Linked DNA regions of Macaca mulatta. The protein of the gene in region 4 binds, or shares a complex with, the protein of the main gene of each other region. Links are inferred from orthologs where the notes say so. Each region holds a gene or a part of one and is shown on either strand. Other genes may lie near its edges. The genes, in order: RANBP2, NUP188, NUP160, NUP205, NUP93 and NUP214.

Region 1 (4,292 bases), on a different chromosome or scaffold from region 4:
ATGGTTCTTGAGTAGGTTTATTTCAGGTATCTGGCTTTGTGGCTGAGTGGAATGGTGATGGTATACCATCAATCATTACTCGCACAACATCCCTCCCCTCTTTTGAACAGTTACTTGCTTTAGGATACCCAATTTCCAAATCCCCATATAACAGGGAATAAACCTGTCTTTCCTCACTAAATAAAATGAGGTAATTTCACCAGAAAGAATGTGTTCTTTGGGTGGAAGAGAGTCAGTATTCATAATTGCAATATACAGAATTTTGTGTTCTACCTGGATTCTTTGTAGTTCCATATCGAGTAGGCCAATAAGAACATCCTCTTTTCTTTAGCAATTTGCCTAACATTTGATACAAGCCATTTCCAAATACATTTTCAGTGTATATCAAACTTGAGAAACTAGCTCTGGAAGTTAGGCGGCAGTTTGAATTTACTGCCTCTGAATTGTCTTCCTTTAGAATAACCAGAAGCACAAGTAATGAATTTTTTGAATGTCAGTGGCTCTTATGAATTGTCATTTTATTTCTGCTACAAAATTTACCAGAAAAGGGTACTGCAACAATCCTGTATAAAGCAAATCTTTAACCAAATAACATGGCATAGACTTTCTAAAAATATTCATACTTTATCACAGTAACTACAAGGAAAAATTCAATTTCTATCATCAGAACCAAGCTGCAGTTTCTGAGGTAGTAGAGACAGATGACAGAAAAGTTTAAAACAAAACCCCTAAAGGAAATAGTCAACTTGTTTAAAATGTAAAAATTAATTGAATACCTATGAAAGAGCACAGGAAGCTAGATATTTTAAGGAAGGAAGGTACACTACTTACAAAGTTAACTTGTAACCACACAGGAGGTGTAAAGATTCTAGAGAAGAGCACTTTGGTTAACTCTGTACGTTCTGTGGCTCTACCCATTCATAAATGAGTCTCTATGCATAAATGAGTACACCAATAGTTAAGATTACCAAATATATTTCAAATCTAAAGTAAAATTATCCAAGTTGTGGTCCCTTTATTCAAATGGTAAGTATATCCATGCAGGAAGTCCAAATATCTTAAAAGGAATTAAAATTAAATTGCATATATCATATTCCTTCAATAGTTTGAGAAGGTCTATTGCTTTTAACAAGATTAGTATTATTCCATTTTAATACAAATATGTCAGGAGTACATAAACACAAGTACACCTGAAATACACCAGTGTTTAAACTTTTATTTCACACCATGCAAGGTCAATTATAACATTAAAAAGTGACAACAGCTATAAGCTGCAATTTTACATCTGTACATCAGAAACGTCCATTTTCAAAAGCTGAACATAATTATCAAATTGTAATAACTAAGCTTCAACTCAACTGCTTATACAGATAAAATTTTCTATGAAACACAATGATTTTATATCTGTCCACATTCTGTGATAGTTATTCTTCGACAAACAGACCCTTTGGGAGAACCAAATGATTCAATCTTTTTCACAGTATCCATGCCATCCTTAACAAACCCAAATACTACATGCTTAAAGTCCAAATGTTCTGCTTTTTTCAGTGTTATAAAAAATTGAGAATTATTGGTATTCTGGCCTCGATTGGCCATGGATAGTAAACCAGGACCAGTATGTTTCACATCAAAATTTTCATCTTCAAATTTATCTCCATAAATGGACTGTCCGCCTGTTCCATCATGTTTGGTGATATCTCCTCCCTGAAAAAAAAATGTATAACAAAAGTTTAAAAATTTTTTTCAATTAATAGGAATCCTGAGTAAAATACTAAAATACACACAGAACTCATCGCTACAGGATAAATCCTAAAGCCCAGCTTTCCTGAGTATAATCTGAAACCTAAGAAATTCATATTGTTGGAAAGAAGATGAAAAATGAAAAGGTTTTTCCCATCCCTTAGTCTCTATCTACTAGGTCTCAAGTACTGAAAATTTAACTTTTTTTTTTTTTTTTTTTTTTTAAAGACAGGCTGTCTCGCCGGGCGCGGTGGCTCAAGCCTGTAATCCCAGCACTTTGGGAGGCCGAGACGGGCGGATCACAAGGTCAGGAGATCGAGACCATCCTGGCTAACACGGTGAAACCCCGTCTCTACTAAAAAATACAAAAAACTAGCCGGGCGAGGTGGCGGGTGCCTGTAGTCCCAGCTACTCTGGAGGCTGAGGCAGGAGAATGGCGTGAACCCGGGAGGCGGAGCTTGCAGTGAGCTGAGATCCGGCCACTGCACTCCAGGCTGGGCGACAGAGCGAGACTCCGTCTCAAAAAAAAAAAAAAAAAAAAAAAAAGACAGGCTGTCTCACTCTGTCGCCCAGGATGGAGTGCAGTGACGCAAACCTAGCTCACTGCAGCCTTGGCTTCCTGGATGCTCCCACCTCAGCCACCATGTAGCTGGGACCACAGACGGACACCATCACGCCTTATTTCTGTATTTTTTGTCCAGATGAGATTTTTGCCACATTGCCCAGGCTGGTCTCAAATTCTGGGGCTCAAGCAATCTGCCTGCCTTGGCCTCCTAAAGTGCTGGAATTACAGGTGTGAGTCATTGTGCCCAGCCTAAATTATTTTAGGGTGAAAGTTTTAGGCAGGAGCAGGGAATGGGTAGTGATGCCATGTGATTCCATGTGTGGAAAACCTAAAGAAATCTTAAACAAAACTACAGGATGAGGTCCAGGAAAAACACCCAAATTTCCCGCTGGTGTGGTGCACTCTTTAAGACCTCAATTGCGGTATGTACTTAATAATACCTACTTGGCAAACAAAATCCGGAATTACTCTGTGAAAAATGGAATTCTTGAAACCAAAGCCTTTCTCTCCAGTGCATAGTGCTCTGAAGTTCTCAGCAGTCCGAGGAACAATGTTCGAAAATAACTCCATAGTTATCCGCCCTAGAGGTTCACCGTCCGCACAAACATCAAAAAACACCACAGGATTGGTCTCCTTTGATAATTCTGCTGCATGTCCTTTCTGGAGTTGCAATAAATTCTGCTGACATTCTTCAAATGTTTTCTTGAAACAATCAGCTACTTCTTTAGTTTTAAATCTCACTGCAAGCTGTTCTACTTTTGCTTCTCCATCTATTAAGGAGGGAAAGGGGAAGGAGTGACCTTAGTGTTAAAATAACTGTTATAAGTTGTTTTGTTATAGATTTTAGAAAAGTCCAAAAAATGAAAAGTACATTTGAATGTAAAAACTCACCAGCATAATCTGAGGCAGTCCAAACTAAAGCATTATTTGAAACATTTAAGGGCTTTAATTCCATTGTTTTAGTAATAACGTGGTTTGCACACACTTTAAAAACCTGGTCTCTTCTCATAAGGATCCGGTAATAGTTCTTCATTGTATGCCAAAGAATCTTTATATCTCCAACACCACGTTCCTTCCACTGACTGACATCCCGATCCCATCTATAAAGTTTGGCTCTCTCTTTAAACAAAATTTCTTCATCTTCTTCTCCAGATTTTACTTCTACCTATAATAGGAGATGAAATACTCTATAAGCTGCTGCTTATAATAAATTCCATGACAAATTTCAAAGATCCAAATTCTTTTAAGGCATTTTCTTTGTGATGACAAAGAGAATTTGTTAATATAATAATTGGTTATATATCTTAGGGCTAGGAATACATCTGATGTGGCTGAGGGAGTAAAGACCTGATTTGTCATTAAATATTTTCTTTTATATAGTATTCATTTTCCCTTTGGAAATTAAATGCTTTTCTTTATAGGAACAGAGGTTTCAAAAGTGTCTGCTACTGAAGAGAAATATATAAGATACTGAGGTTAAAAATGACAAAATAATTTTCCTAGAACAATGTTCTTGTCCAAAAAACACAGATTAATGTTTATTGAAAGGACTTTCGTATGAGGTTAATTTTTCCCCAGAATCATGTTATAAAAACAAACATGATATTCTAGAAACATACGAAAAAATTATTTCTTCCCAACAATTACATATAGAATTTATAAACCAATATTTATGTAAAAACTGCAAAAAGATAATTTATACTTAAAGGCTAGACATCTAATAAATAGAGCTTCCATTTCAAACTGTAAACATTCTTAAATGCAAACAATGATACCCTGACAGATCAAGCCAGGGTAAGTTTTAAACTTAAAAATGAAAAATAAGTTATTAGTAAAAGTTTAATCCCTTAACATTTACCTCTGGTAGTGACACTATTGGTTCAAAATGGATATCTTCATTATGAACTACTTCTTCATCACTACCATCTTCATCTTCACCAACTTTACCAATTGACTGGGTTCCAACTGACTGTGTTCCAAACACAGC
Region 2 (6,156 bases), on a different chromosome or scaffold from region 4:
AAAAATACTGTTAGAAATTTAGTGTTCAAAATATAAATTAGGAAACTAAAACATAAGATTTTAACCTGGCCAGGCATGGTGGCTCATGCCTGTAATCCCAGCAGTTTGGGAGGCTAAGTTGGGTGGATCACCTGAGGTCAGGAGTTTGAGACCAGCGTGGCCAACATGGCCCCATCTCTACTAAACAAAAACCTCATCTCTACTAAAAATACAAAAATTAATCGGGCATGGTAGCAGGTTCCTGTACTCCCAGATACTCGGGAGGCTGATACACAAAAATCGCTTGAACACAGCAGGCAGAGGTTGCAATAAGCCAAGATCACACTACTGCACTCCAGCCTGGGTGACGATGTGTCTATCTCCAACAAACAAAAAAAGACATTCTCTCAATAAATAGTTATTACTTAAAAAAAAAAGTTATTAAAGGTACAGAGATTTTATTTTGTCAGATTCTAAACCATCACTGAGAATAGTAATCTGTAATAATCAAACACTGCTTAGAAAGCCTATCTGCAGAGAGAGAAGGGATGAAAAGATCCTAAACTATGCTAAACATTTTGCAAAAAGAATGCAAGCTATGGCTGGATGTGGTAGCTCACACCTGTAATCCCAGCACTTTGGGAGGCCGAGGTAGGCGGATCACGAGGTCAAGAGATCGAGACCATCCTGGCCAACAAGGTGAAACCCCGTCTCTACTAAAAACACAAAAATTAGCTGGGCATGGTAGTGCGTGCTTGTAGTCCCAGCTACTTGGAAGGCTGAGGCAGGATAATCGCTTGAACCCGGAGGCAAAGGTTGCAGTGAGCCGAGATCGCATCACTGCATTCCAGTCTGGCGACAAGGCGAGACTCCTTCTCAAAAACAAACAAACAAAAAAAAAAGAATGCAAACTATGTTAACTACAAGGTAAAACGAAAAAATAAGCCGGGAACGGTGGCTCACACCTGTAATCCCAGCACTTTGGAAGGCCAAGGTGGAAGGAGTACTTGAGCCCTGGAATTTGAGACCAGCCTGGGCAACATGGCGAATCCCTGTCTCTACAAAAAAAAATAGAAAATTAGCTAGTGTGGGCCGGGCACAATGGCTCACACCTGTAATTCCAGCACTTTGGGAGGCTGAAGCGGGCGGATCACTTGAGGTAAAGAGTTCGAGACCAGCCTGGACAGACCAGATGGTGAAACCCCATCTCTACTAAAAATACAAAAATTAGCCAGGCATGGTGGCAGATGCCTGTAGTCCCAGCTATTGGGAGACTGAGGCACAATAATCACTTGCACCCAGGAGGTGGAGGTTGCAGTGAGCTGAGATCGCGCCACTGCACTCCAGCCTGGGCGACAAAGAATCTGTCTCAAAAAAAAAAAAAAAAATTAGCTAGTGTGGTGGTGTGCACCTATGTTTCCAGCTCCTGGGAGGGCTGATGATGTAGGAGGCGCCACTGAGCCCTGGAGGGCAAGGCTGCAGTGAGTCATAATCAGGAGTGATCAAGGAGGATCACCTGAGCCTAGGAGTTCGAGATTAGCATGGGCAACACAGTGAGATCTTGTCTCTACAAAAAATACAAAAATTAGCCAGGCATGGTGGCATGTGCCTGTAGCCCTAGCTACTTTGGAGGCTGAGGTGGGAGAATCAGTTGGGCCAGGGAGGCAGAGGTTGCAGTGAGCCAAGATCCTGCCACTGCACTCCAGCCTGTGTGACAGAACAAGACCCCTTCTCAAAAAAACAAAAAAAACAAACAAACAAAAACAAAAAAAACCACTGTAACACAAAGCACTAGCTCTGTTTTAAAATTGTCAGTCTGTAAGCCCAGCACTTGGGGAGGCCGAGGCCAGCGGATCACCTGAGGTCATGAGTTGGAGACCAGCCTGGCCAACATGGTGAAACCCTGTCTCTATTAAAAATACAAGAAATTAGTTGCGCGTGGTAGCGGGCGACTGTAATCCCAGCTACTCAGGAGACTGAGGCAGGAGAATCCTTTGAACCCAGGAGGCAGAGGTTGCAGTGAGTGAAAATCGGGCCAGTGCACTTCAGCCTGGGCAACAACAGTGAGACTCTGTCTCAAATAACTAGTCTTTTAGGATTTTCTCATCAAAAGAGGTTTAAACACACCTAAAATTTATACATCTCTTTCCTAATGGTTAATGCTTTAAAAGCAACTTCGATTCTGCTCAATTAATAGCCACCAACTCCCACATGGCACACTGGAATCACTAATCATTTTTCTCATAACAAGACAGTATTCAGGCCAGGCATGGTGGCTCATGCCTGTAATCCAGCAGTTAAAGAGGCTGAAGCTGACAGATCACTTGAGGTCAGGCGTTCCAGACCAGCCTGGCCAAAATGGTGAAACCCTGTCTCCACTTAAAACACAAAAATTAGCCGGGTGTGGTGGTGCGCACCTGTAGTCTTATCTACTGGGGAGGCTGAGGCAGGAGAATCGCTTGAACCCGGGAGGCAGAGGTTGCAGTGAGCCGAGATGGCGCCACTGGACTCCAGCCTGGGCGACACAGTGAGACTCCATCTCAAAAAAAAAAAAAAAAAAAAAAAGTGGGGAAAACACTGCTGGCACAGGGAAGGATAAGAGGCAGGGATGTTTAATTTTAAGGAGGGAGGGTGGTGGGAAGACCGAAGACCTTCGAGCTGCAATGTGGAAAACGGAGGGAGGCGTGGTGGTCTGGTTATAGCACTGGAGGCACGCAGACTTCAGCCTGAATCCTCTCTTTATCACTTGGCTAGCTCTGAGCCGGACTTCTGAGTCATCCGTGAAATACAAGGCGCCTCTCGGAGTTGCGAGAATTGAATGAGGTAACTCATGGGAAGCGCTCCATCAGGGTCTGACGCTAGAAAGCACTTTGTGAGAATTGTAGCTTTCGTATGTAATATTTCATCTTCTTGTCCCTAAAGCCTAGTTCAGTCCCTTAAATCTCTTGGAGGATTTGGACATGCTCGCCGACTGATTCAATGCAAGAAAAGAACGATTCGAGGCGTGGAGAGGGCAGAAACCGCAAGCGCGGCTCCGCTCGACGCGAAACAAAATCCTAACAAGAACAGACCGCGGGAGAGGTTGGGGAGCCAGCAGGGCGCACTCGACGCCGGGGCAGGACACTGGGAGCCTGCAGCAGGGACGTGGGTGGGGGGTACCCGAGGCGACCGCAAAGCTCCCCGTGGCTCGAGGGAGCGTCACGGCCGGACAAGGAAGCGCGGGTGGGGCGCCAAGGGACGCGCCGGAGCTGAGAGGAGAGGAAGGCAAAGTCCCCTGGATGAGGAGATGGGAGGCCAACCGCGGAGCGAAGGGGTGAAGAGCCGGCCCCCCTCCTGAAGAAGACTTCAGATCCCCGCGCGCGGGGACCGTTTGGACGTAACCGCCTCCTGTCTCAGTGCCCGTCCACCCAGCCGGGGTTGGCCCTGCCACCGTCGCCACATCCCGCCTCCAATTCCCGCCCCTCTTCCGCTCGGCTTTGACCCCGCGCCTCACAGCCACCCCGGTCCACTCGACCCGCTCCGCACCTCACACACGGCCCGCCGGCGGCCGCCGCCATCTTCGAGCGCGCGCGCGCCCTAACCCCGCCCCCAGACGCCATGCCCACGTGACCGCTCGCCCCCGGACCGGGAGCGTGGGCGGGGATTTCATCACGTGACGTTGCCGCGGGGCAGTGCCAAGATGGCGAGGCCCAAAGAGGTGAGGAGCCGGCAGCGGGGGCGGCTGTAACTGAGAGGAAGGCTGCAGAGTGGCGACGTCTACGCCGTAGGTTGGAGGCTGTGGGGGGTGGCCGGGCGCCAGCTCCCAGGCCGCAGAGAGTGACCTGCGGTGGAGTTCCCTCCTCGCTGTTGGAGAACGGAGGGAGAAGGTTGCTGGCCGAGTGAAAGTGCCTCCCTCTGCTTGGCGGGGCTGAGGGGCCCGAAGTCTAGGACGTCCGTAGTCACCCCGGCCTCTGTGAAGCCCCAGGTCTAGAGACATGACCCGAGAGTGCCCATCGCCGGTCCCGGGGCCTGGGGCTCCGCTGAGTGGATCGGTGCTGGCAGAGGCGGCAGTAGTGTTTGCAGTGGTGCTGAGCATCCATGCAACTGTATGGGACCGATACTCGTGGTGCGCCGTGGCCCTCGCAGTGCAGGCCTTCTACGTCCAATACAAGTGGGACCGGCTGCTACAGCAGGGAAGCGCCGTCTTCCAGTTCCGAATGTCCGCAAACAGTGGCCTACTGCCCGCCTCCATGGTCATGCCTTTACTTGGACTAGTCATGAAGGAACGGTGCCAGGCTGCTGGGAACCCGTTCTTTGAGCGTTTTGGCATTGTGGTGGCAGCCACTGGCATGGCAGTGGCCCTCTTCTCATCAGTGTTGGCGCTCGGTATCACTCGCCCAGTGCCAACCAACACTTGTGTCATCTTGGGCTTGGCTGGAGGTGTTATCATTTATATCATGAAGCACTCGCTGAGCGTGGGGGAGGTGATCGAAGTCCTGGAAGTCCTGCTGATCTTCGTTTATCTCAACATGATCCTGCTGTACCTGCTGCCCCGCTGCTTCACCCCTGGTGAGGCACTGCTGGTATTGGGTGGCATTAGCTTTGTCCTCAACCAGCTCATCAAGCGCTCTCTGACACTGGTGGAAAGTCAGGGGGACCCAGTGGACTTCTTCCTGCTGGTGGTGGTAGTAGGGATGGTACTCATGGGCATCTTCTTCAGCACTCTCTTTGTCTTCATGGACTCAGGCACCTGGGCCTCCTCCATCTTCTTCCACCTCATGACCTGTGTGCTGAGCCTTGGTGTGGTCCTACCCTGGCTGCACCGGCTCATCCGCAGGAACCCCCTGCTCTGGCTTCTGCAGTTCCTTTTCCAGACAGACACCCGTATCTACCTCCTAGCCTATTGGTCTCTGCTAGCCACCTTGGCCTGCCTGGTGGTGCTGTACCAGAATGCCAAGCGGTCATCTTCCGAGTCCAAGAAGCACCAGGCCCCCACCATCGCCCGAAAGTATTTCCACCTCATTGTGGTAGCCACCTACATCCCAGGTATCATCTTTGACCGGCCACTGCTCTATGTAGCTGCCACTGTATGTCTGGCGGTCTTCATCTTCCTGGAGTATGTGCGCTACTTCCGCATCAAGCCCTTGGGTCACACTCTACGGAGCCTCCTGTCCCTTTTTCTGGATGAACGAGACAGTGGACCACTCATTCTGACACACATCTATCTGCTCCTGGGCATGTCTCTTCCCATCTGGCTGATCCCCAGACCCTGCACACAGAAGGGTAGCCTGGGGGGAGCCAGGGCCCTCGTCCCCTATGCTGGTGTCCTGGCTGTGGGTGTGGGTGATACTGTGGCCTCCATCTTTGGTAGCACCATGGGGGAGATCCGCTGGCCTGGAACCAAAAAGACTTTTGAGGGGACCATGACATCTATATTTGCGCAGATCATTTCTGTAGCTCTGATCTTAATCTTTGACAGTGGAGTGGACCTAAACTACAGTTACGCTTGGATTTTGGGGTCCATCAGCACTGTGTCCCTCCTGGAAGCATACACTACACAGATAGACAATCTCCTTCTGCCTCTCTACCTCCTGATATTGCTGATGGCCTAGCTGTTACAGTGCAGCAGCAGTGACAGAGGAAACAGACATGGGGAGGGCGAACAGTCCCCACAGCAGACAGCTACTTGGGCATGAAGAGCCACGGTGTGAAAAGCAGATTTGATTTTTCAGTTGATTCAGATTTAAAATAAAAATCAAAGCTCTCCTAGTTCTAGTTTTGCTGATACTTATTTTTTATTATTATTATTTTTTTGAGACAGTTTTGCTCTTGTTGCCCAGGTTGGAGTGCAGTGGTGTGATCTCGGCTCACCAATCTCCGCCTCCCAGGTTCAAGCGATTCTCCTGCCTCACCCTCCCTAGTAGCTGGGATTACAGGCATGTGCCACCCCGTGCTAATTTTGTATTTTTAATAGAGACAGGGTTTCTCCATGTTGGTCAGGCTGGTCTCGAACTCCCAACCTCAGGTGGTCCGCCCACCTCAGCCTCCCAAAGTGCTGGGATTACAGGTGTGAGCCACCGTCCCAGCCTTGCTGATACTTAAAATGAAGAGTCTTAAGGGATAATCCAGCAACTCAAAGAACCTGAGTGTGCTGTAGAGCCGCCCCCCCCCCCCACCTCTTTCACCCTGCAGCCTCGG
Region 3 (5,934 bases), on a different chromosome or scaffold from region 4:
ATTCTTTTATTTATTTACTTTTTTTTTGAGATGGAGTTTCGTTCTTGTTGCCCAGGCTGGAGTGCAATGGAGCAATCTCAGCTCACTGCACCCTCCACCTCCTTGGTTCAAGCTATTCTCCTGCCTCAGCCTCCCAATTAGCTGGGATTACAGGCATGTGCCACCACGCCCAGCTAATTTTGTATTTTTAGTAGAGACAGGGTTTCACCATGTTGGTCAGGCTGGTCTCAAACTCCTGACCTCTCAAACTCCTGACCTCAGGTGATCCACCTGCCTCGGCCTCCTAAAGTACTGGGATTACAGGCGTGAGCCACCACACCTGGCCTCCTTTACTTTCTTTTTTTTTTTTTTTTTTTTTTGAGACGGAGTCTCGCTCTGTCGCCCAGACTGGAGTGCAGTGGCCGGATCTCAGCTCACTGCAAGCTCCGCCTCCCGGGTTTACGCTATTCTCCTGCCTCAGCCTCCCGAGTAGCTGGCACTACAGGCGCCAGCCACCTCGCCCGGCTAGTTTTTTGTATTTTTTAGTAGAGACGGGGTTTCACCGTGTTAGCCAGGATGGTCTCGATCTCCTGACCTCGTGATCCACCCGTCTCGGCCTCCCAAAGTGCTGGGATTACAGGCTTGAGCCACCGCGCCCGGCCCTCCTTTACTTTCTTAATAAACTTGCTTTCACTTTGCACTGCGGACTTGCCCTGTATTCTTTCTTGTGTGAGATCTGAGAACCCTCCCTTGGGGCCTGGATCGGCACCCTTTTCCTGTAACAAAACTACATGTACTTGGGTTTTTTGTTTTTTTAGTTATTGTTGTTGTTGCCTATTTTCCTCCATGAGAGTAGGAACTTTGTTTTGTTCCCTGCTATATCCCTATTCCCTAAAAATGGACTGAAATATATTAGGCAAGCAAATTTCCTTTATTTCTTCCTGTTTTTATAAAAGAGATGGGGTCTTACCCTGTTTCCCAAGCTGGAGTGCAGTGGCATGATCAGATCCTCCCGCCTCAGCCTCCTGAGTGGTTAAGATGAAAGGCACATGCCACCCCGCCTGGCTAATTTTTAAAAATCAGGCCGGACATGGTGGCTCCGCCTGTAATCCCAGCAAGTTGGGAGGCCGAGAATGGGGCACTGCTTGAGTCCGGCAGTCCAAGACCAGCCTGGGCAACCAGGCAAAACCCCATCTCTACAAAAACAAATAGAAAAATCAGCTGGGCATGGTGGCGCATACCTGTAATTGCAGCTACTTGGGAGGCTGAGGTGGGAGGGTCACTTGAACCCAGGAGGCGGAGACTGCAGTGAGCCATGATTGCACCACTGCACTCCAGCCTGGACAATGGAGCCACCAGACTGTCTCTCAAAAAGAAAAGAAAAAAAAACAGAAAGAAAAAAGAAAAAAAATTGTAGAAATGGGGTCTTGAACTCCTGGCCTCAAGAGATCCTCCCACCTCAGCCCCCCAAAGTGCTGGGATTACAGGTGTGAGCCACTGTGCCCAGCCAAAATATTTAACTAAATGAAATTTGTATCTCTAACATAAAGTCTCTCTTTTGAGCCTTAGACCTGTAAATTTCAATGCCTACTTGACATTTCCAAAGGGCTGCTCCCCAGGTACTTCAAATTTACTATGTCCAACAGAATTATTCATATCTTTCCAAAATCCATCTTCTATGGATCTCTGTAAATGGCAACCCCTCCCCACTCACATCTGGTTAGTCACATGAGACACCAGGGAGCTGTCCTTGTTCTCTCCTTTTCTTTTACCATCCCTTACCCCATATTCAATCCACCACCAAGTCCTAGTGAATCTATCTTCCAAAGGTATCTTGAATCCATCTACTTTTCTATTTCTATTCATTCCCACAATTGAACCACCAGCAACCCTTACTTGGGCCATCATAAAAGCAAACTTTTTTTTGCATTATACCCATCTAATCCAAATCCACTTTCCACAAAGTAGACTGAGATCTTCTAAAAATACATTTTAAAAAATTTAGATTCAGGGGTACATGTGCAGCTTTGTTACATGAGTATATTGTGTATATATTCCTATCTACATGAGGTTTGGGCTTCTAATGATCCTGCCGCCCAAGTTGTGAACACAGTAACTGATAGGTTTTCCAACCTCTGCTCCCCCGCTCCTTTTGGAATCCCCAGTGTTAACTGTTCCCATCCAAAAATGCAATTTTGATGTTAGTAACTCTTTAAAAACCTATTCCATTATTACTCAATGTACTTAGGATAAAATCCAAAAATCCTTAAAAATGGCCTAAGGGTCCCTCATGGTCCGAGTCCTGCCTACCTCTCCAGCCTCAGTATCTCACATTACTTTCTGTTTTACCCACTGCACTTAAGCCACACAGATCTTTGGTCAGTTCCAAACCTGCCACATTCTTTCCACTTTGTGACCTTTGCATATGGTGATCCTGCTTGCTGGACTCCTCTCTGTCCACTCCCCATACCTGGCTAACCTCGTGTCCTTTAGATCTCAGGGTAACTGTGAAAGCCTTTTCCTGCCCCACTAATAACATTTGGTCCTCTCATTAGCCTCTCGTAACCCCTGTATTTTTCCTCTAGGGCAAGTTTTCCTCCACAAAATTTCCCCATGAAAAGTGAGTCCACAACTATTCTGACATTGCTACAACGTCTTGCATGATGAAGATGGCAGTTTTGTTCATTTCGTCCTGGTACCTAGCACAATGCCTGACATATTGAAGCTCGAACATATTTGTTCAATGAAGGAAGCTGTAAAGCACTATAAAAACATAATGGGTTCATGTTTAAAACTAGTCTTATGGGCTTTATACCCCTAAGCTACATTCCCTCTGCTTTTGGTGTTGCTTGGTGTGTGTGTGTGTATTGGTGGGGGGGGAGGGTAAACTCTTCTAGAACTGTCTCAGTTTTCCCGACTCTGATACGAACTGAAAAAAAAAAACTTTCTCTTTCCCTAAGTGTCGATTACCGCTTCTAGAATAGCACTTTGGGAACAGCAACTAAAATTTACACACCAAACCCTACCTTCCAGGGGAGTTTGGCGAACCACAGCACTTACCAATGAATGAACCTGTTTCTGGTTACGGAGAACAACTTGCCACTCTCCACATAGTAAAAGCCTCCCGCGCTCTCACTGTATTTTACGGCGCCAGCCACGGCATTTGCGGTCCCTGCAAAATGAACGTGGTCAGCCTGCACACGCGTCTTCTGAGAAATGACAGGGACTAAGGGACCTGATAAAGCAGAGGGTGACAGACTGACAACCCATACAAAGAAAAGAGGAAAACGTCGGACATCAAGGAATCTCTGATCCCGGGGCTGGAGGCATGTGGACTCAGGAGGATGAACCCAGCAGTCAGAGACCCTAGGACCCATGAGAGGAGCCCGAGGGGACAGATCGGATCGCGCCCTCCCTGGCCACTTCCGTACCAATGCTGCAGACTGTGAATTCCCGAAAGTGCCTCGGCCTTTCGCGCTCAGCCCCGCTTAGCTCCACGAAGCTTCGTTCCAGGGATCCCGCCGCCGCCATCTTCCCGCCGTCGCCGCGATGCCCGACGGGACAAAGGCAGGGCCGCGCGGCCGCCGTCACTTCCGGGGGCGGGGCGGGCGGAGCTGCGGACGGGTGAAGCATCCCGGGAGCAGAAAGGGGGCTTCCGTCCTTCGTTGCGGGGCTTCCACCGGGAGAATGAGGATGGGCAGCGGGGAATCCAGAAGAGAAGCGGGCAGGGGAGGCCGACTGTATCTGCTGGAATCTTCGAGTGGCCGGCTGGAACGCCTCCGGAGGGCGGTGCCCTTTTCTCAGCGGCCGCAGGGCAGGGGGCGGGACCGGGTTTGTTTCTGTTTCCAAAACGCGGGGCTCAGTCTCCCAGGAGGGGCGAGGTCCGGGGAGGTCCGGCCTTTGGGCGTCCTCTGCCGGATCCCGGGTGTTTGGTCACCTCTCCCTCGGTTAGGGTGTCCGTCTGTAAATCTTTGCCGATCCTCCCTTCGCTCTTCAGTGGCACTTGGGTTGGCGGGGTGAGGAAGGGGTAGTGAGGGAAGGGCCTTTGGTTTTGGTCTTTTTTCCCCCCAAGAGACTGTATTCGTGTATTCCTGTATAATGAAACGTAATGTGGTAAACCTTGATGCTGCCACCTGCTGAGGTTACCTGAGTGCTACTCACTTGGATACGTGAAAAGAATTTGCCATTCATTCCAACCGTGATCTTGCACTTGGCTGTCAATGCAATAAGGGCCCATAGTGGATGTTTAGAAGATATTGTGGGGGTAGATGTTCAAAATCGGGGAAAATGCTAATCTCCAGCAGGGAAGGTTTTGTTCCTTAGTGATAGCCAACGCTTGTTGGTCACTTCTATTACCAGTGACCACAGCCATTCCCTGTCATTCTCTGTTTCATTTATCTGGTTCCGACCATCATTTCCTATCTTTCCACTTCACTCCCTCTGGGACACCAACTTTGGCAGTGCAGCCCCCTCATTCTACCTGAAATCCATTGTTATACAAGCTCTTCACTGTCCCTCACTTCTTTGGTGTTTCTTCCTTATCCTGAATACCATTAAATTACTTCATTGCCTAACTCTTCATCAGTAAAAACAACTTCGATTACATTCAAATCTGTAGCTGAACGTGCCTGAAGAAAACTATACACCAAGGTCGGGTGTGGTGGCTCACGCCTGTAATCCCAGCACTTTGGGAGTCCAAGACTTGAGGATCACTTGAGGTCAGGAGTTCAAGACCAGCCTGGCCAACATGGTGAAACCCGGCCTCTACGAAAAACAGAAAAATTAGCCGGGCGCAGTGGCTCACGCCTGTAATCCTAGCACTCTGGGAGGCAGAGGTGGGCGGATCACGAGGTAAGGAGTTCCAGACCCGCCTGGCCAACATGGTGAAACAGTGAGATACAAAAAATTAGCTGGGCATGGTAATGCACGCCTGTAATCCCAGCTACTCGGGAGGCTGAGGCAGGAGAATCACTTGAACCCGGGAGGCAGAGGTTGCAGTGAGCCGAGATCGCGCCACTGCACTCCAGCCTGGGTGACAGAGCAAGACTCCGTCTCCAAAAAAAAAAAAAAAAGAAAAATTAGCGGGGGCATGATGATGCGTGCATGTAATCCCAGCTGCTTGGGAAGCTGAGGCAGGAGAATCGCTTGAACCTGGGAGGTGGAGGTTGCAGTGAGCCGAGATCGCGCGGTTACACTCCAGCCTGGGCAACAACAGCTAAACTCCATCTCAAAAAAAAAGAAAGAAAACAGAAAACTATACACCCATACTGACATGCTTCCCTCTAACTCCATCAGGACCATGTACCTTGAGTGGACCTATCTTGCTGCCTGGCAAACACATGGTATTTGCTTTCTCCATTTACTGTTCTAAATGAGTGTTTCGTAACTCCCGAAACCTCCACTGCCTCCGTCATCATCCTGACTCTCCACTTGCTGCTTCATTTAGAAAATTAAAGCAATCAGAGGCTGAGATGGAAGGATGGCTTGAGGCCAGGAGTTCAAAACAAGCCTGGGCAACACACCCCCATCTCCAATAATTTTTTTTTTTTTTTTAATTAGCCAGGCATAGTGGTGTCCCTCTGTAGTCCCAGCTATAGGAAGATTTCTTGAACCCAGGAGTTGGAGGATACAGTGAGCTACAATCCTGCCACTGCGCTCCAGCATGGCCAGAAAGAGACCCATCTGAAAAGAAGGAAGGAGGAAGGGAGGACTTCCTCTACAATGACATCTCCCCACCTACCACCATCTGTAGCCACATATTTTGCCTTCCCTTCCTGTTACTATAAATTAAACTGTCTCTGAGCTTATGCTGAGACAACCTTTCTACTTCCGTAGAACAGCTGCTCAAGGACATCATTCCAGCAATTAAATTATTTCCATTTTCAATTTTTCTCCCTTTTTACTTAGTACTGTATGTACTAAGCATACAAACATTCGCTCGACCTCCACTCTCTG
Region 4 (5,455 bases):
AAAGTACATACTTTTTCACATGGAAATTCTACCATTAAGCAGCATCCTTTCTGAGAAATATAGGCATATAAAAAAAATTGATGTAGCATTTTTGTAATAAAAATTTAGAAACAATTGAAATGCCTATGAATAAGGAAAATGGCTAAATAAGTGTTTCATCCATATCATGGAATAACAAAGACTTTTTGTGGCTTTTTTTTTTTTTTTGAGATGGAGTTTCACTCTTGTTGCCCAGGCTGGAGTGCAGTGGCATGATCTGGGCAACCTCCGCCTCCTGGGTTCAAGCAATTCTCCTGCTTCAGCCTCCCGAGTAGCTGGGATTACAGATGCCAGCCACTGTGGCCGCTAATTTTTTGATTTTTAGTAGAGATGGGGCTTCATGATGTTGGCCAAGCTGGTCTCGAACTCCTGACCTCAGGTGATCCACTGGCCTCGGTCTCCCAAAGTGCTAGGATTACAGGCGTGAGCCACCACGCCAGGAAGAGATATTTTAAAAGAATCAACTAGATATGTACTCTGATGTAGCACAAAGGAAAGAAAGACGTTGGGCCATTCTATGTAGAGCATACTGCTCAGTGGGACTTGAGGCAAGTGAGGGAGTTACAGAAGTATATAAACCTAAAGTATTATTTGAAGGTTTTTTTAAAAGCAGTATTCAAGTATTACTTCATAATTCTTAAAAACTAAACATTCTCCCTCAACTTTTGAGTAAATGCTTTAAAAAATGACACCAACACTCATTTATTACAGTTGTGATTAGTCAAAAGATGGAGAAGTGATTTTTTTTTTTTCAGTTTAAAAAGTAACCATCTCCCAATCCAGAAAAGATTAGGAATTGATCTCATTCTACCTGCTTCTAAGGTGTCTGGCTCATCAGGTCTCTGGGCAATCTGTAAGTAATAAAGCAGAGAGCCATACAAGTGAGTCCTCACTCGCTGGAATCCACCACCTAGGGAGATTAGGAAGATGTCAAATGAAAATCTTTTCTCAATTAAAGTTAAAACAAATACAATGGATAGAATTTATAGAAATTTTAGATGAAAAAAACCTGTCTTCAAAATGAAGTCTAACAGTTTCTTCAATATGATGTAAAGTGAAGAATCTCCAATAGAAGCAAAACCCACTAATGGGTTCTCTTCTGGAGGAGGTGAGGTGAAGGAACTATCAAGCATAAAAGCGTAATGGGCATCTGCTGGTCCCAAGACTGATGTTTGCTTCTGTTCGGTGAGGACGGCCTGGCTCAGGTGAGCAGTCAGTGTGAACACTGCCCCAGCGACTACAGGCATTAACTCCTGCGCTGCTTCATCATCCAGTATCTTAAAGGACAAGGGCAAATCAGAGTGAGAATCCTGCTTTCAGCTATAATCATTAACAAGTTTCACAGCTTTTTTTTTTTTTTTTTTAAGATAGGGTCCCGCTCTGTCACCCAGGCTGGAGTGCAGTAGCATAATCTCAGCTCACTTCGGCCTTGACCTCCTGGGCTCAGGTGGTCTTCCCACCTCAGGAGATTGGTCTCAAACTCCTGGGCTCAAGCGATCCTCCCACCTTGGCCTCTCAAAGTTCTGGGATTACAGGCATGAATCACTGCATACAGCCCATTAACAAGTTTTATATATATTTAGTTTGTCAACTGTGACAACAATATAAGAATGGAATACAGAAATTAGTCAAAAAAAAAAAAAAAAAAGAAAGAAAAGAAAGAAAAAAATCTAATATATACAGAGAAATTTAAATATGATGCTAGGTAATGGGTGTTCTTAACCAGAAGGGATTCCTATCAGAATTCCCTAAGGAGGTTTTCTTTTTGAAATTCACATAAAAGGTCTCACCATTACATTCAGTAGGTCTGGGGTGGGCTTGTCCATGTGAACTTTTACAAAGCTCCCTAGATAATTCGGACACACACTCTGGTTGACAGTCACTACTGTATAGAATTAATCCCTTTCTCAAGGAAAGTCTTAATGTTGGTATTGTGCAATTCTATTTTATTCCTAATCAAAAATGGAAAACAATTGGGGTGCCAAAATTTATTCGTTTAAATGATACATATTTGTTCAGCAGTATAAAGTAATTTAGGAAGTATGTCACCTTATCATGCACGTCTTGTAAAATATCACGAATAATCAGTTGTCGATCCTCTGCCTGAATGAGGTCCTGGGGACAAGCTGTCAGTATAATTTCTACCAGTTGCCTCCACGACTCCAGAGCGTGACGTTTTGCATGAAGACACTGCAGCAATTTATTTCTTCCTACCACATACTGAAGTACAGTGCTGATTTCCTAAAGCCACAGGAATGGAATCACAAGGTTAAACAGGCAAATAAGATCAGTTATCTGTCAGTTACTCAGAAAATATCTATTTGGAAACCTACTACATGCATGCCACAAAGCAGATATCTTTTCATATTATTTCAGTAGCCAGGGCTATAAAAAATACTAATATATAAGGTGTGTATGTGTGTGTGTGTGTATGTGCATGAAAGGTAGGGGACAGAGGTGGCATAGATAAATTTGTATTTTTTGACACTATCTTCTTTCTCCTTGTACCTATCTACTTATACTTGCTTACTCTAGAGCACTAGAATTATTTAAACTCCAAGTTCAATGGCATGTTTCCCTGACATCTCTTTTATTTCTTTGCCTCTTGCTTTGGCCTGGCCAGCTATGTCTCCATGCATGTGGTTCTTCCCATCTGACCTCTTACCTGTAACTTTCCACTTGTGATGACAAATGACCCTCCTCTCTCACTGACGGGGACCAAGTGAGGTATAATACGAAATATGGTCAGGCTGCAAATCCTTAACTAGTCTAGCAGAAAAGGTGTTATTTATTTCGGCATACCAGATAGTTCAGCTTATAAAAGTTATAAAATCAAAAGTGAAAGACTCCCTAAATGTTTAATTTTTAGGTAGCTTACTAATTAGCAAACTACACGTTAATATACTATTTTAGTCTTTTCACCAGCAACCTAAGTAGTTAAAAGGTTGAAACGAACACATACTCAATAGAGCTTACCTCCATGAGTAGAGGTCTCTGTCCTATGGCTGCCATACCCTGAAGGGCATTTACTTCAGCTACAAGAACCCTATGAAGAAGCTGGATAATTAAGAAAAGAAAGAAAAATAAGACATTTCAGACACTGGTAGAACAATAACACCTAGCAATTATCATAAACTGCCCTAAAGGGAAAGGCGTCAGATACCTTTATATATAATCTAACAAGAGCAACGTCCACTTTCCAGACCAAAATATTAAGTATCCCTTTTCAAGAAGTTAGTGTGATACATTAAGATTTATTTCAGGGATATTTTACAAAAACCACAGTCCTTCCTATAAACTAGTAAACCAATGTCTCTATCAGAAAGAAAACCTGTATGGTTCTATTTGTTTCTGATGACTTAAGGTCTGAGCCACTTGACACTGCAGATATGTACTTTAAAGCAACCCTCACCTTGACATTGCAGACTGTCTGTCCCCGTAAATTCTTGTGTTCACAGTTAGCAATAACTTGTTCAATCTGGGTCCGATCAAAAAAATCCAACTGCAAAGGCTCAGGGATCTCCTGACTGAAGTCAATCGAGTCAAGAATATTTAGAATTTTTCGACGTACTAGAAATAACAAAAAGTAATTTGATTTTACTTGGGACATCGAAAGGAAGGGCAAACCATCATATTCAGTTGATTTTCAAAGATAGTGCTATTTTCAGAAACAGCATAAAATAGTCAAGAAACTGAAAACTGTATTGGAATCTAAATTTGATTTTATTTCTGATACATCCATTAACAAAAATATTTTCTTTCCTGTTGTATAATCCTTTTATAAAAAAATTTTCAGGTGGCAAATAATCCTTTATATAGCTTTTCTATACCAGTTCAGAGTTTGCAGGCACAGGCATAATAATCCCTTGAAGTTTTAAGCAATTTAATGTATGTCTATAAAATAAATTGATTACAAATTCAAAGGGGATTACCTTTCGTAGCAGCGTCAAAGTGAAGGAACCCAGAAACAGACCTGTTTTCATCTTCCATTCCTCCTTCACCATCTGTTGGAACATCAATAATATTGAATCAGAAAAAGAAGAACATACTCTTAAAACTACATTTATTTGGAAATAACTAACATAAGGTATTTTATTTGTAGGTCATTGTTTCTGCATCAAACAGCCCTGTGCAAATGGATAATTAAAATGCAAAGACTGACGAGGACTTACTACCAACATTCATCTAATTCTTTCTGTCCCTATGGAATCCACTTCACTATTGTAAAGAGAATAATCAGATTCTCAAAAACGGCAAGATCCAATCATGCCAATGAGATGATTTTAAAAGTTTATACTTAATTTGCATGAATACATATTGAAATAGCTTAGGTCATGCTGGCTTAGTATGACAAACTCCACTGACAATTCTGTATGTAATACCGGTATGACTATAGTGTCATGTGGATGCTTAAAATAATAATAAATGTCAATCATAAGATGAGTTAAAATTTTTGTGTTTTAAGAAAAAAAAATTCTAAAAGTGAGAAGATAGTTTTGGTTTATAGTCACATACTAAGCACAAGCTTCACATTTGTGTTTGTCTTCACAACAACTAGTCACCAGCACAATAAAACAAATACCAATAATCACCTGAGTACGGTTTCACTGGCATGTCATCCAGTAAGAGGTGTAGGAGCCTCTGGGTATGTGACCGCTGACGATTCAGAGAGGTTACCCTTAGTTCTATTGAGGCAGTTTTCATAAGCCATGACATCTGGTTCAGCATAGATATTTCATATTCTAGAATTTAAACATGCAAATTTTGTTTCCCAGAGTAATAACACAGTATCAAAACAGACTTAAATTCTGTAATTCAACAGATATTTCCCATGTAACAAAGTCAATAATTTATGAAACTCAGCAACATAAAATTTCTCATCTGTAAAATTACAAGAGAAAAAAAAAGATACCAAGGAAGAAAAAATAAGCTAGTATAAATCTATGAAAGATGAGCTAAAGTAAATGAAGAGTAAAAGAGAATCAAGTTTTCATTACTGATTTTAATTTCACAAAGATCCTGAGTCTATCGTTTTTTGACACTGATATATAAAACAATATTTTAAAGTAATTTTCAAATACATAACTCAAAAACTCTCATAGTTTGGTTTTGATTTCACAAAACAAATACTTAAGAAAAATTAAACTTAAATTGCATGATTTTATAATACCTCAATTAAGGATGTGGTTTAACATTTAATTAAGGCTGAGAATCACTTATACAGTAGTTTTTATTTTTATTTATTTATGTTTTATTGTTGAGACAAGGTCTCACTCTATTGCCCAGGCTGTACTTGAACTCCTGGCCTCAGTGATCCTCCTGTCTCAGCTTACCTAAGCACTGGGATTACAGGCGTGAGCCACCATGCCTGGTCCCACAATAAGAGTTTTCTAATCCAATACTATTTTAATACGCT
Region 5 (4,282 bases), on a different chromosome or scaffold from region 4:
TACTGACAGTGTGCCGACCCAGATGTCCCCAAAGCATGGCACTTAATTCATGAGGACCTCCATCTGCACCAGCCTCGCATTGGTGTCCCCAGACGTTCGGTAGGGTATCATTCCAGCAAAGGTAATCAGAGTTCGGGCTTGACTTCGGAGTTGCTGAGAGAAAAGGGAAGGAAGCAAAGGAAATTGGTTAACTTTTGAGTCAGGGCACTATTCCATGTTCTTCCATCCTCCACCCTGGGGTGTCAGGGACAGATCCCTGGTGGGTGGATGACAGTCGTACCCTCCTCTGTCGTATTCCTTCAGCATGACACAAAGTTAACAAAGCTCGTCCCCCAAGGCCCCTGTTCCACAGGCATCCAAACCCATTTACTAAGCAAAAAGCAGATGGGTTTGCCAGGCAAGCCGCCTCGCCCCAACACATTTGGCTAGCTTTTGACACAGCCCTGAGCTTCAGAACTGCCTGCTCCAATTTTCAGAGCCTCTCTCTCTGGCTGGTTTCTGTCCATCTGCTTTCACAGGGATCTGAGTCTCCAGAGCCCCATGAAGCCCTTGTAACACCGGAGGCAAGGGCTGTGACTGTGCAGTCCCACGCCGGCTTTCTTCCTCCCATGCATCTTTCCTCTTCCTTCCTTTCGTTCCTCCTGTTTTCTCCCTTCCTGATATACATGCTTAGCCCTTCTTTCCCCAGGCAACAGTATTTATGGAATTCCTGGATTGTTCCAGGAGGGAAAAAGGTGGCCCTACAAATTTAAACCAAATCTGGACTAGAAAGGGAGAATCTACAAACACCTTTCTGGACTAGTAACAAGAATTTAAAGAAAAACTGAAGAGTCATCTACTAGGCTTACTTAAGGACCATTCCAGAAGAAAATTGAAAAGCAAATGCTTTTTACCTGATGTGTAAAACAAACTAGCGAGTGCATGTCCTTACTAATGTCCAAACAAAAAGAAATCTGACTTTGTGATAGGAATACCCATTGTATTTTCTTTAGAAGTGAATGAAAGTGCATGGGCTCTTTGAAATGAGCTCTAGGGATGTTCAAGTAAAAGGATTCACTCCCTTACTGGGCAGTATCTCACTTTAAACCATGAAACCAAGGACATCAGTGGGCTTGCAGACCTCTTGGGCACGCAACTTTTATATATAACCTTTTACTTAATCCTATTCGCCCCTACCTTTCAGAAAAAGAAAGAAAAAGGAGAGTGGTGGGCAAAAGGCAGGCAGGAGAATGATCTTCAGACATGGGACATGGCCTGCCAGAGACCAGCTCCTCTCAGTGGGCAAGCCTGCCTGAACTGTAAGTGGCACACAGAGCACCAAGAAGTATCCACTATCTCAATACTCACATTCACAAACATCACTGCACTGGGTTTCTATTATCAAAAAAGATTCCTGCCAAGTGGTAGGCACCATGAGCCCACCGCTGGCACATCTGGCGTTTAGATTCCTATCTGTCCAGGGTAAGGAGAAGACCAGCAAATGCTCTGGTGCGCACCTGGACGGGCTGACCACTTCAGTGGACCACTCTTGAGCACTGTTACCCACATTCCTAAAGGTGGAAATTTCCACCATCTTTCACTAAGCACAAGTTTTATCAACAACAATGCCTGTGGGGTCACAGTGGAAAGAGCTCACAGACATCCTCAGAGGCAGAAGACAGAACATGGCTTCTTGGCTGCCAAAACCAAGTCTGATGTTAGACACTGAGATCCTGAGAGTCTCATCAAAAATTAAGCGGAAATGTTAAAGGAAAGGTAATTTTAAAAAACATCATTGTGGGGCTGGGCACGGTGGCTCACACCTATAATCCTAGCACTTTGGGAGGCCGAGGTTGGGGGGATCTCTTGAGCTCAGGAGTTCGAGATCAGTCTGGGCAACATGGCAAAACTCCATCTGTATATAAAGTACAAAACTCAGCTGGGTGTGGTGGTGCACACCTGGAGTCCCAGCTACTTGGGAGGGTGAGGTGGGAGGGTGGCTTGAGCCCAAGAGGTGGAGGCTGCAGTGAGCTGAGATCATGTCACTACATTCTAGCCTGGGCGACAGAACCAGGCCCTGCCTCAAAAAAAAAAAAAAAAAAAAAAAAGAAAAGAAAAGAAAAGAAAACACCATTGTACTATCCCCTTATGGTTTAATTGGGTCAAAAAATACCTTTGCTCTTTTTTTTTTGTAATCAGACAACATATGCTGTGAGCCCCAGGGTTCTAGCTACCTGGATTCCACTTGACCCACGCACTGCCAGAGGTCCCACAGGCAGCAGAAAGGGCACAGGTGTCAGAGACCCAGCCTCCAGACATGGCCCCTTCACCTACCTGCCACCTGAGGGCAGTTGCTTCCCAACTCCACAGCTCAGTTTCCTCAGCTGTGAGAGGGGATAAGATGCTGTGCTAGTTACCTCTGTAGGGTCACTGTGAACACCGTGACAGGAGAAACAAGGGTTCACATTAAATTAATGTGTTGATCAAAAATAAAGTATGGTTTTAATAAAAGTGTTCACTAATGAGCTAGGACTAACAAAATAAACTTATCTTTTAAAATGTGCAGGAAGTTCTTAAGGAGTCAACTAGAAATTAGCATTCTGTGTGATCTGTTAAAAGGTAAGATTTGCAGACCTAGCACTTCTTTTTATTTTTTTAAGCTTGAGAAGAGCAGCAATCCCTTTAATGTTTGATTTCCTCTGGGAGCCCCCTAACACGAGATTTATCCAGCTGCCAGGTACTAAGGAGAAAGAGCAGTTTTGGGTCACGTGGTCTCTTAATAAGAGTGCAACGGATTCCAAACCAGAAAGGTGGTGCTCAGCAATGTTTCTCGTGAATGCTGGGATCTTACAGAGTCGCGGTCCTCGATGACTCTCTGGGGCCTGGATGATGAGGATGGACTTGTCCCCTTGAGCCTCTTAAACTGTGTGAACAAGATGTTCATGGTGGCAAGAAGCACTTCTGAGAGGTTGTGCCTGATCTACACAGAGAGAAAAACGGAGTAAAGAACAAGAACCAAGCCTTTCGGGCCAACCACAGATGGAGGGAGGGTGGGCTGCTCCAGGCGGGCCTGGTCGCATCACTCCTCACCATTACCAGGTGGAGAGCCACACAGTCACCCAAAAGGAGCTGATGGCACTGAAACATCAAGTGTGAGAAAAAACCCCAAGCAATGCTCCTCAGGTCAGGTGGTTACTGTTTCTGCTCCTTTATGCTGTTTATGCTGTTTTTCCCTTAGTCAGGGGCAGCAAGCCAAAAAAAGCATGCTGACATCTGGTTAGCATTAGGCTTAGACTGGCCAGCAGAGTGGATGCCAATACATAATTTGAATTTGAATGTCAGGAGGTACAGGTGCACATGCTACTTCTCCACAGTCCCTACCACTCCCCACTCTCTCAAAGTCAGTGGGCTGTTTCCACTGGATCTGCATGGCCCTACCAGAGTCCTTGGGAGTGTCTACAAGGGCAGGCCCTGGTGTACTACTTTAATCTCTGATGCAATGAAGGATGTATTCAAGGAAAGGCTAGAAATAACAAAGGAGCAAGTGGCTAAGGGTAGAAACCACAGCAGGTATAAAGGGAAAGTCAGCAAGGGGTAAGACCTTCTGAACTGTGTGTACCACAGTAGTCAACATCCCTCTTCATGTGCAGAACTGGCCTTACTTCTTTCTCTAAAACAGAAACTTTTTTTTTTTTTTTGAGACAAAGTCTCCCTCAATCGCCCAGGCTGGAGTGAAGTGGCGCAATCTCAGCTCACTGCAACCTCTGCCTCCTGGGTTCAAGCGATTCTCATGCCTCCGCCTCCTGAATAGCTGGGACTACAGGCATGCGCCATCATGCCTGGCTAATTGTTATATTTTTTAGTAGAGACGGGATTTTACCAAGTTGGCCAGGCTGGTCTCCAACTCCTGACCTCAGCTGATCCATCTGCCTCAGCCTCCCAAAATGTTGGGATTATAGGCGTGAGCCATCGCACCTGGCCAGAGACATTTTATAAAAGGCATCTGCTCAATGAGGAATAATTTTAAACTGAAAAACCACTAGTGACATCCCAGAGCCAGGCAGTTGGTTCTAGCATAGTGTTGAGAGCTGAGTTGAGTGTTTGTAGTTCTAGAGATGAATTTACCTGGGCCACACACTGGAATGACTCAGGGAGGTCTGGGCTGCAGCAGTCAGGGAAACCAGAATCTCTGGGGTCTGGGCATGAGAGTTCTTAGAAACTCTCCTAGAGATGCCAGTATGCAGCCCAGCTGAGCACCCTGGGCTAGATGTTGGCAATATGCTAGAAACCCGACAGACAGACA
Region 6 (4,575 bases), on a different chromosome or scaffold from region 4:
CTCCAGCATTTCTCGGTGAAGCAGCTGAGGATGCAGTTGGTCCCAGGGACCGAAGGGCCTGCTGACACCCCCTCAGCTTCGCCAGCCACCAAAACCCTGCACAGACCTGCAAGGAAGCACAGGAGAGTGGTGGAGTCAGCTGCTCTGTCACAGAGCAGTCACAGGCTCTGCTGCTCTGCCTGTGGGCAAAGGTCAGGACTCCGATTTTTTATTATTATTTTTTTGATAGAGCCTCACTCTGTTGCCCAGGCTGGAGTGAAATGGCGTGATCTCAGCTCACTGCAACCTCCACCTCTCAGGCTCAAGCACTTCTTCTGCCTCAGCCTCCCAAGTAGCTGGGATTACAGGCATGCACCACCATGCCTGGCTAATTTGTGTGTGTGTATCTATATATATATATATATTTTTTAGTAGAGATAGGGTTTCACCATGTTGGCCAGGCTGGTCTCAAACTCCTGACCTCAAGTGATCTGCCCACCTTGGCCTGCCAAAGTGCTAGGACGACAGGTGTGAGCCACTGTGCCTGTCCAGTTTTGTTTTGTTTTTCCTTTTGAGATAGGGACTGGCTGTCACCCAGGATGGAGTGTAGCAGTACCATCTTGGCTCACTGCAGCCTCGACCTCCCAGGCTCAAGTGATCCTCCCACCTCAGCTTCTGGAGTAGCTGGGACCACAGGCATGAGCCAGCATGCAAAGCTAATTTTTAAAATTTTTAGTAGAGATGGGGTCTCACTATGTTACGCAGGCTGGTCTTGACTCCTGGGCTCAAGCAATCCTCCCACCTCAGCCTCTCAAAGTGCTGGGATTATAGGCATGAACCACCCACCTGGCTAAGACTGAATTTTAACGCCATGAAATTCTACACAGAAGCAAAGAGGATGGATCAGCACAAGACCTGGTGATGGCCCAGAGCCCAGGGGTTAGCACACGGCTTCCGAGAAACCCACAAGGGAAGTCACGAGCAGCATCTCCTCAGCGCTGCCCTCAGGCCCGGCTCACTGGCAGGCTGCTCTCTTTCTCTCTGAACCATGTCTCTTAAGAAGGCGAGGCCTGGCACCTTCTGTCACATTGCTACGGAGAAGAGCAAGTCCACAAAACCTAAACCCTGCTGCTGAACCCCCACACTTCCAGGACAAACTCTAAAAACAGGAAAAAATGAAAAGAAAATGCACAAATCCAGCAAGATCCACACACTTCCAACCTTATTTAATGCTTTTAATTAAGGTCAGACTCAAAAAGGGGGATACTTACGAGTTATTTGATCCAAAGCTGAAGCCTGAAAAGCAGAAGACAGAAGTTAAAGCACGCGTCCACTTGAAAGATGAAGGTGGTCCCCATGCTAAGTGCCTGCCCTCCTGTGCTTCTCAGTCATGGGAAGCCCTCCATGCCTCCCCCACCTACAGGAAGGCAGGAAAGGTACATGCAGAAGCCCCTTTATTCTGAGTTTGTCCTCTGGAGCTGCTCAGATCCCCCAGAAGGCAGAAGAAATCCTTTACTTTTTATGAGTTATCTTCTTGGTATTTTAGGTTCTTCCTCCCTCCCCGGCCCCAGCTGTAGGCAGAGGGTCTCTGGTTTGGCCTCTCTCTCAACTGCGCTGGACCACACAGATTCATTTCATTAGGAAAACTTTTTTTTTTTTTGTGCTGTGGTTGTTTTTCCATCCATTTGCTTCCTCTTCTTTTTGAGGGCCAGAGAAGCAAGATGGCTGGATTCTAAGCCTGGTTCTGCTGCTAACTGACTCTCGGCAAATCACTTAGTTCCTTGGAGTTTCTGTTTCGTCATTGGTACGACTGTAATGATACCTAAATTCTGTGCCTCATCAGTTTATTGCAAGAACAAAACGGAAGACACATATTCTGCCGTCTGAAGAAGCAGAGTGTTAAACAAATGCAACATGTTTTGTGAAGTTTCTACGTGTTTTCTTTTTTTTTTTTTTTTAGTCTGTTGGCTTAGATTTTTAAACCAAGGCCTAGTAAGACCATTATTATGTTGGGCTTCTCAAATCCTGAGAGGAAATAAAGACAGTAATTTCTTTGGTAAGAAATGACACAATGTTCTAAGCCTAACCAAAACCTAAAAAATATATATATTTCTTCATTGGTATGAGATACATACATATATATATATATATTTATTTTTCGGCTGGGCGCGGTGGCTCACGCCTGTAATCCCAGCACTTTGGGAGGCTGAGGCGGGTGGATCATGAGGCCAGGAGATGGAGACCACCCTGGCTAACCCAATGAAACTTCGTCTCTACTAAAAATACAAAACATTAGCCGGGTGTGGCGGTGGGCGCCTGTAGTCCCAGCTACTCAGAAGGCTGAGGCAGGAGAATGGCATGAACCTGGGTGGCGGAGTTTACAGTGAGCCGAGATCGCACCACTGCACTCCAGCCTGGGCAACAGAGCGAGACTCTGTCTCAAAAAAAAAATTTTTTTTTCAACCACTTTCAGTATGTTATGTATTTATTTATTTTGAGACAGGGTCTCATTCTGTCACCCAGGCTGTAGTGCAGTGGTGCAATCACAGCTCACTGCAGTCTCGACCTCTCGGGCTCCAGTGATCCTCCTGCTTCAGCCTCCTGAGTAGCTGGGACCACAGGTGTGTGCCACCATGTCTGGCCAATTTTAAAATTTTTTGTAGAGAATGGGGTCTTGCCATGTTGCCCAGGCTAGTCTCAAACTCCTGGGCTCAAGTGATCCTCCCGCCTTGCCAAAGTGCTGGGATTACAGGCATGAGCCACGTGCCTGGTCAGCTTTTAAAATACTAAACAGACTGGTCAGGTAAAACATACTCATTTGTTTGGGGGAAGAAGGCAAGAGGGACCCATTGTGCTTGCGCAGGGAGAACTTGTAGCAGCTCACCTCCTGTGCCTGATCCAAAACCAGAGAATCCGCTACTCTGGGTCCCAAAACCAGAAGTCTGTTGGGACAGTGATCCGAAAGTGGGGGCGTTCTGACTCGCGAGTGTGCCGAAGGATGTGGTGTTGCTGCTGCTCCCAAACCTGCGCTCCAGTGAGAAACAGACCGAGGTCAGTGGGGCCTCTCACCACTCGGCCATCTGCAAGCCTCAGCCCCCTGCCGTAAATCTCAATATACACGACACACATGATCCAGGGTGACAGGCTGGGCCTAACTAGCAGCCTTTTAGAGAGAACGAGCTATCGTTCAGGGCCAACTTTTATCTCTGCTCTGGGAAGAAAAACGGCAGGACTACAGTATGAAATCCAACCTGGCCAGTGTTTTGGTTTCCATCCCCTATCAGAACACCAGGGCATTTGGGAACTGTGCAGTACACATTTCCTGCTCTACCTCCAACAATCCTGAAGCTTTATTCTATCATTTTAGCATTTCTCACTTACCGACCATTCCCCCACACCCCGCTCCCATTTATTTATCTTCAGCTCCTCTTGGGATCTTGATTCTATTTACGTTTTCCAAGTCGTTTCATTCAGGATTTTGTATTTGTTTCCTGAATCAATAATTACTATCCAAAACAATGTAAAAGTGGCCACCATTTTCTTTCCCCTGCTGGCCCCACCTGGAGACAATCCCCTGTGCACCCTCGCTCAGTTCTCCCTCCAGATATGGTCCAGCACAGAAGGTGGCACTGTGTGGCCTACCAGAGCCCCCTGAATCATTTGCAGAGGAATTCAGCTGGGTTGGCGAGAGCTTCTGGGGTCTGGAGGTGACTAGGTGAGGGAAATAGATCAGTGGTTTCTGGGAGAAGGGGCAGCACCTGGGGCAAGAGTCAACCCCAAAGCAAGAAAAAGTATCTAAAACTCCCCCTTCCCACCATTCTATTCACCGTTAATGGTGAGGTCAAGGCTCTTTCCATACAAAGGTGGCCAAGGGATCTGCCCTCATTGGACTTTCTCCCAGGAGCATCTGCTCCCTTCCTCCTCCTGCCTTGGGCCTCATCAGCAACAGCCTGCCCTTCTCAAAGGCCTGCCCTTCAGGGTAGGAGACAGGCTCATGGCCAGGGACCTGGAAGAAGGTAATGGGCTTTTATGGGGATTTAATAACTGACCTGGTATTAACCCTTTTTAGGACTGACTAACCAGCCAGTCAGGATTTGTGTGAGAGCTGCCCCAAGGCAGAATATGATACTTTTCTACTAGTAAAGAAAACAGCTGGTTTCAAATAAATAAATCAATTCTCAAGATACCCAGTCAACCCACACCTTCCACCAACTCTGTGGTACTATGTGCTAGGTCATCACTGCAGAGAACAGCGTCCATTAAGACCTCTGAGAATACCAGCCTAAGTGGGTCTCTAACTGTCTTTTCCAAGCTTTCCTTAACTTAATTCTTGGGGTTTCCTGAGGGCAAACCTAAGGCATTAGTCTCCCTGTGAAACAGGAGCAGCAGCACGCCAACCCTCATTCTTGCTGCTGCGCTCCAGCATCTTGCATGGAGGGAAAGGGTGTGAGTAAGAACATACTATAGTTTATTTTCAAGATAAAGATGCTGTTAGCTTGCCAAGACTCAGATCCCAAGTATCTCTACAATTCCCCCAGACAAAATCATCTCCCCTCCCCCAAGTCTTCAGCTCATGTTGAGCCCAGTACCGTGGTG

What was found.
Region 1: NUP205 (region 4) and RANBP2 share a complex: the UniProt entries of both Homo sapiens proteins name them as parts of the nuclear pore complex. The link is inferred for Macaca mulatta from reciprocal best matches to the Homo sapiens genes NUP205 and RANBP2.
Region 2: NUP205 (region 4) and NUP188 share a complex: the UniProt entries of both Homo sapiens proteins name them as parts of the nuclear pore complex. The link is inferred for Macaca mulatta from reciprocal best matches to the Homo sapiens genes NUP205 and NUP188.
Region 3: NUP205 (region 4) and NUP160 share a complex: the UniProt entries of both Homo sapiens proteins name them as parts of the nuclear pore complex. The link is inferred for Macaca mulatta from reciprocal best matches to the Homo sapiens genes NUP205 and NUP160.
Region 5: NUP205 (region 4) and NUP93 share a complex: the UniProt entries of both Homo sapiens proteins name them as parts of the nuclear pore complex. The link is inferred for Macaca mulatta from reciprocal best matches to the Homo sapiens genes NUP205 and NUP93.
Region 6: NUP205 (region 4) and NUP214 share a complex: the UniProt entries of both Homo sapiens proteins name them as parts of the nuclear pore complex. The link is inferred for Macaca mulatta from reciprocal best matches to the Homo sapiens genes NUP205 and NUP214.

The regions. Positions count from the first base shown.
Region 1 is NC_133418.1:19,360,399-19,364,690, reverse strand, and holds the end of RANBP2 (E3 SUMO-protein ligase RanBP2), read right to left. Parts: coding exon 4,164-4,292; intron 3,471-4,163; coding exon 3,197-3,470; intron 3,076-3,196; coding exon 2,750-3,075; intron 1,705-2,749; coding exon 1,399-1,704; 3' UTR 1,197-1,398; downstream 1-1,196. UniProt on the Homo sapiens protein: E3 SUMO-protein ligase which facilitates SUMO1 and SUMO2 conjugation by UBE2I. Involved in transport factor (Ran-GTP, karyopherin)-mediated protein import via the F-G repeat-containing domain which acts as a docking site for substrates.
Region 2 is NC_133420.1:18,703,587-18,709,742, forward strand, and holds the start of NUP188 (nucleoporin NUP188), read right to left. Parts: upstream 3,547-6,156; 5' UTR 3,537-3,546; coding exon 3,505-3,536; intron 1-3,504. UniProt on the Homo sapiens protein: Component of the nuclear pore complex (NPC), a complex required for the trafficking across the nuclear envelope. Required for proper protein transport into the nucleus.
Region 3 is NC_133419.1:17,735,115-17,741,048, reverse strand, and holds the start of NUP160 (nuclear pore complex protein Nup160), read right to left. Parts: upstream 3,794-5,934; 5' UTR 3,613-3,793; coding exon 3,411-3,612; exon of another isoform or gene 3,152-3,410; coding exon 3,040-3,151; exon of another isoform or gene 1,467-3,039; intron 973-1,466; exon of another isoform or gene 773-972; intron 1-772. UniProt on the Homo sapiens protein: Functions as a component of the nuclear pore complex (NPC). Involved in poly(A)+ RNA transport.
Region 4 is NC_133408.1:175,445,701-175,451,155, reverse strand, and holds part of NUP205 (nuclear pore complex protein Nup205), read right to left. Parts: intron 4,782-5,455; coding exon 4,632-4,781; intron 4,044-4,631; coding exon 3,972-4,043; intron 3,610-3,971; coding exon 3,452-3,609; intron 3,097-3,451; coding exon 3,016-3,096; intron 2,281-3,015; coding exon 2,089-2,280; intron 1,317-2,088; coding exon 1,049-1,316; intron 950-1,048; coding exon 851-949; intron 1-850. UniProt on the Homo sapiens protein: Plays a role in the nuclear pore complex (NPC) assembly and/or maintenance. May anchor NUP62 and other nucleoporins, but not NUP153 and TPR, to the NPC.
Region 5 is NC_133425.1:52,443,385-52,447,666, reverse strand, and holds the end of NUP93 (nuclear pore complex protein Nup93), read right to left. Parts: intron 2,960-4,282; coding exon 2,831-2,959; intron 2,057-2,830; coding exon 1,811-2,056; 3' UTR 1,373-1,810; downstream 1-1,372. UniProt on the Homo sapiens protein: Plays a role in the nuclear pore complex (NPC) assembly and/or maintenance. May anchor nucleoporins, but not NUP153 and TPR, to the NPC. During renal development, regulates podocyte migration and proliferation through SMAD4 signaling.
Region 6 is NC_133420.1:16,314,519-16,319,093, forward strand, and holds part of NUP214 (nuclear pore complex protein Nup214), read right to left. Parts: intron 3,004-4,575; coding exon 2,841-3,003; intron 1,276-2,840; coding exon of another isoform or gene 1,251-1,275; intron 107-1,250; coding exon 1-106. UniProt on the Homo sapiens protein: Part of the nuclear pore complex. Has a critical role in nucleocytoplasmic transport.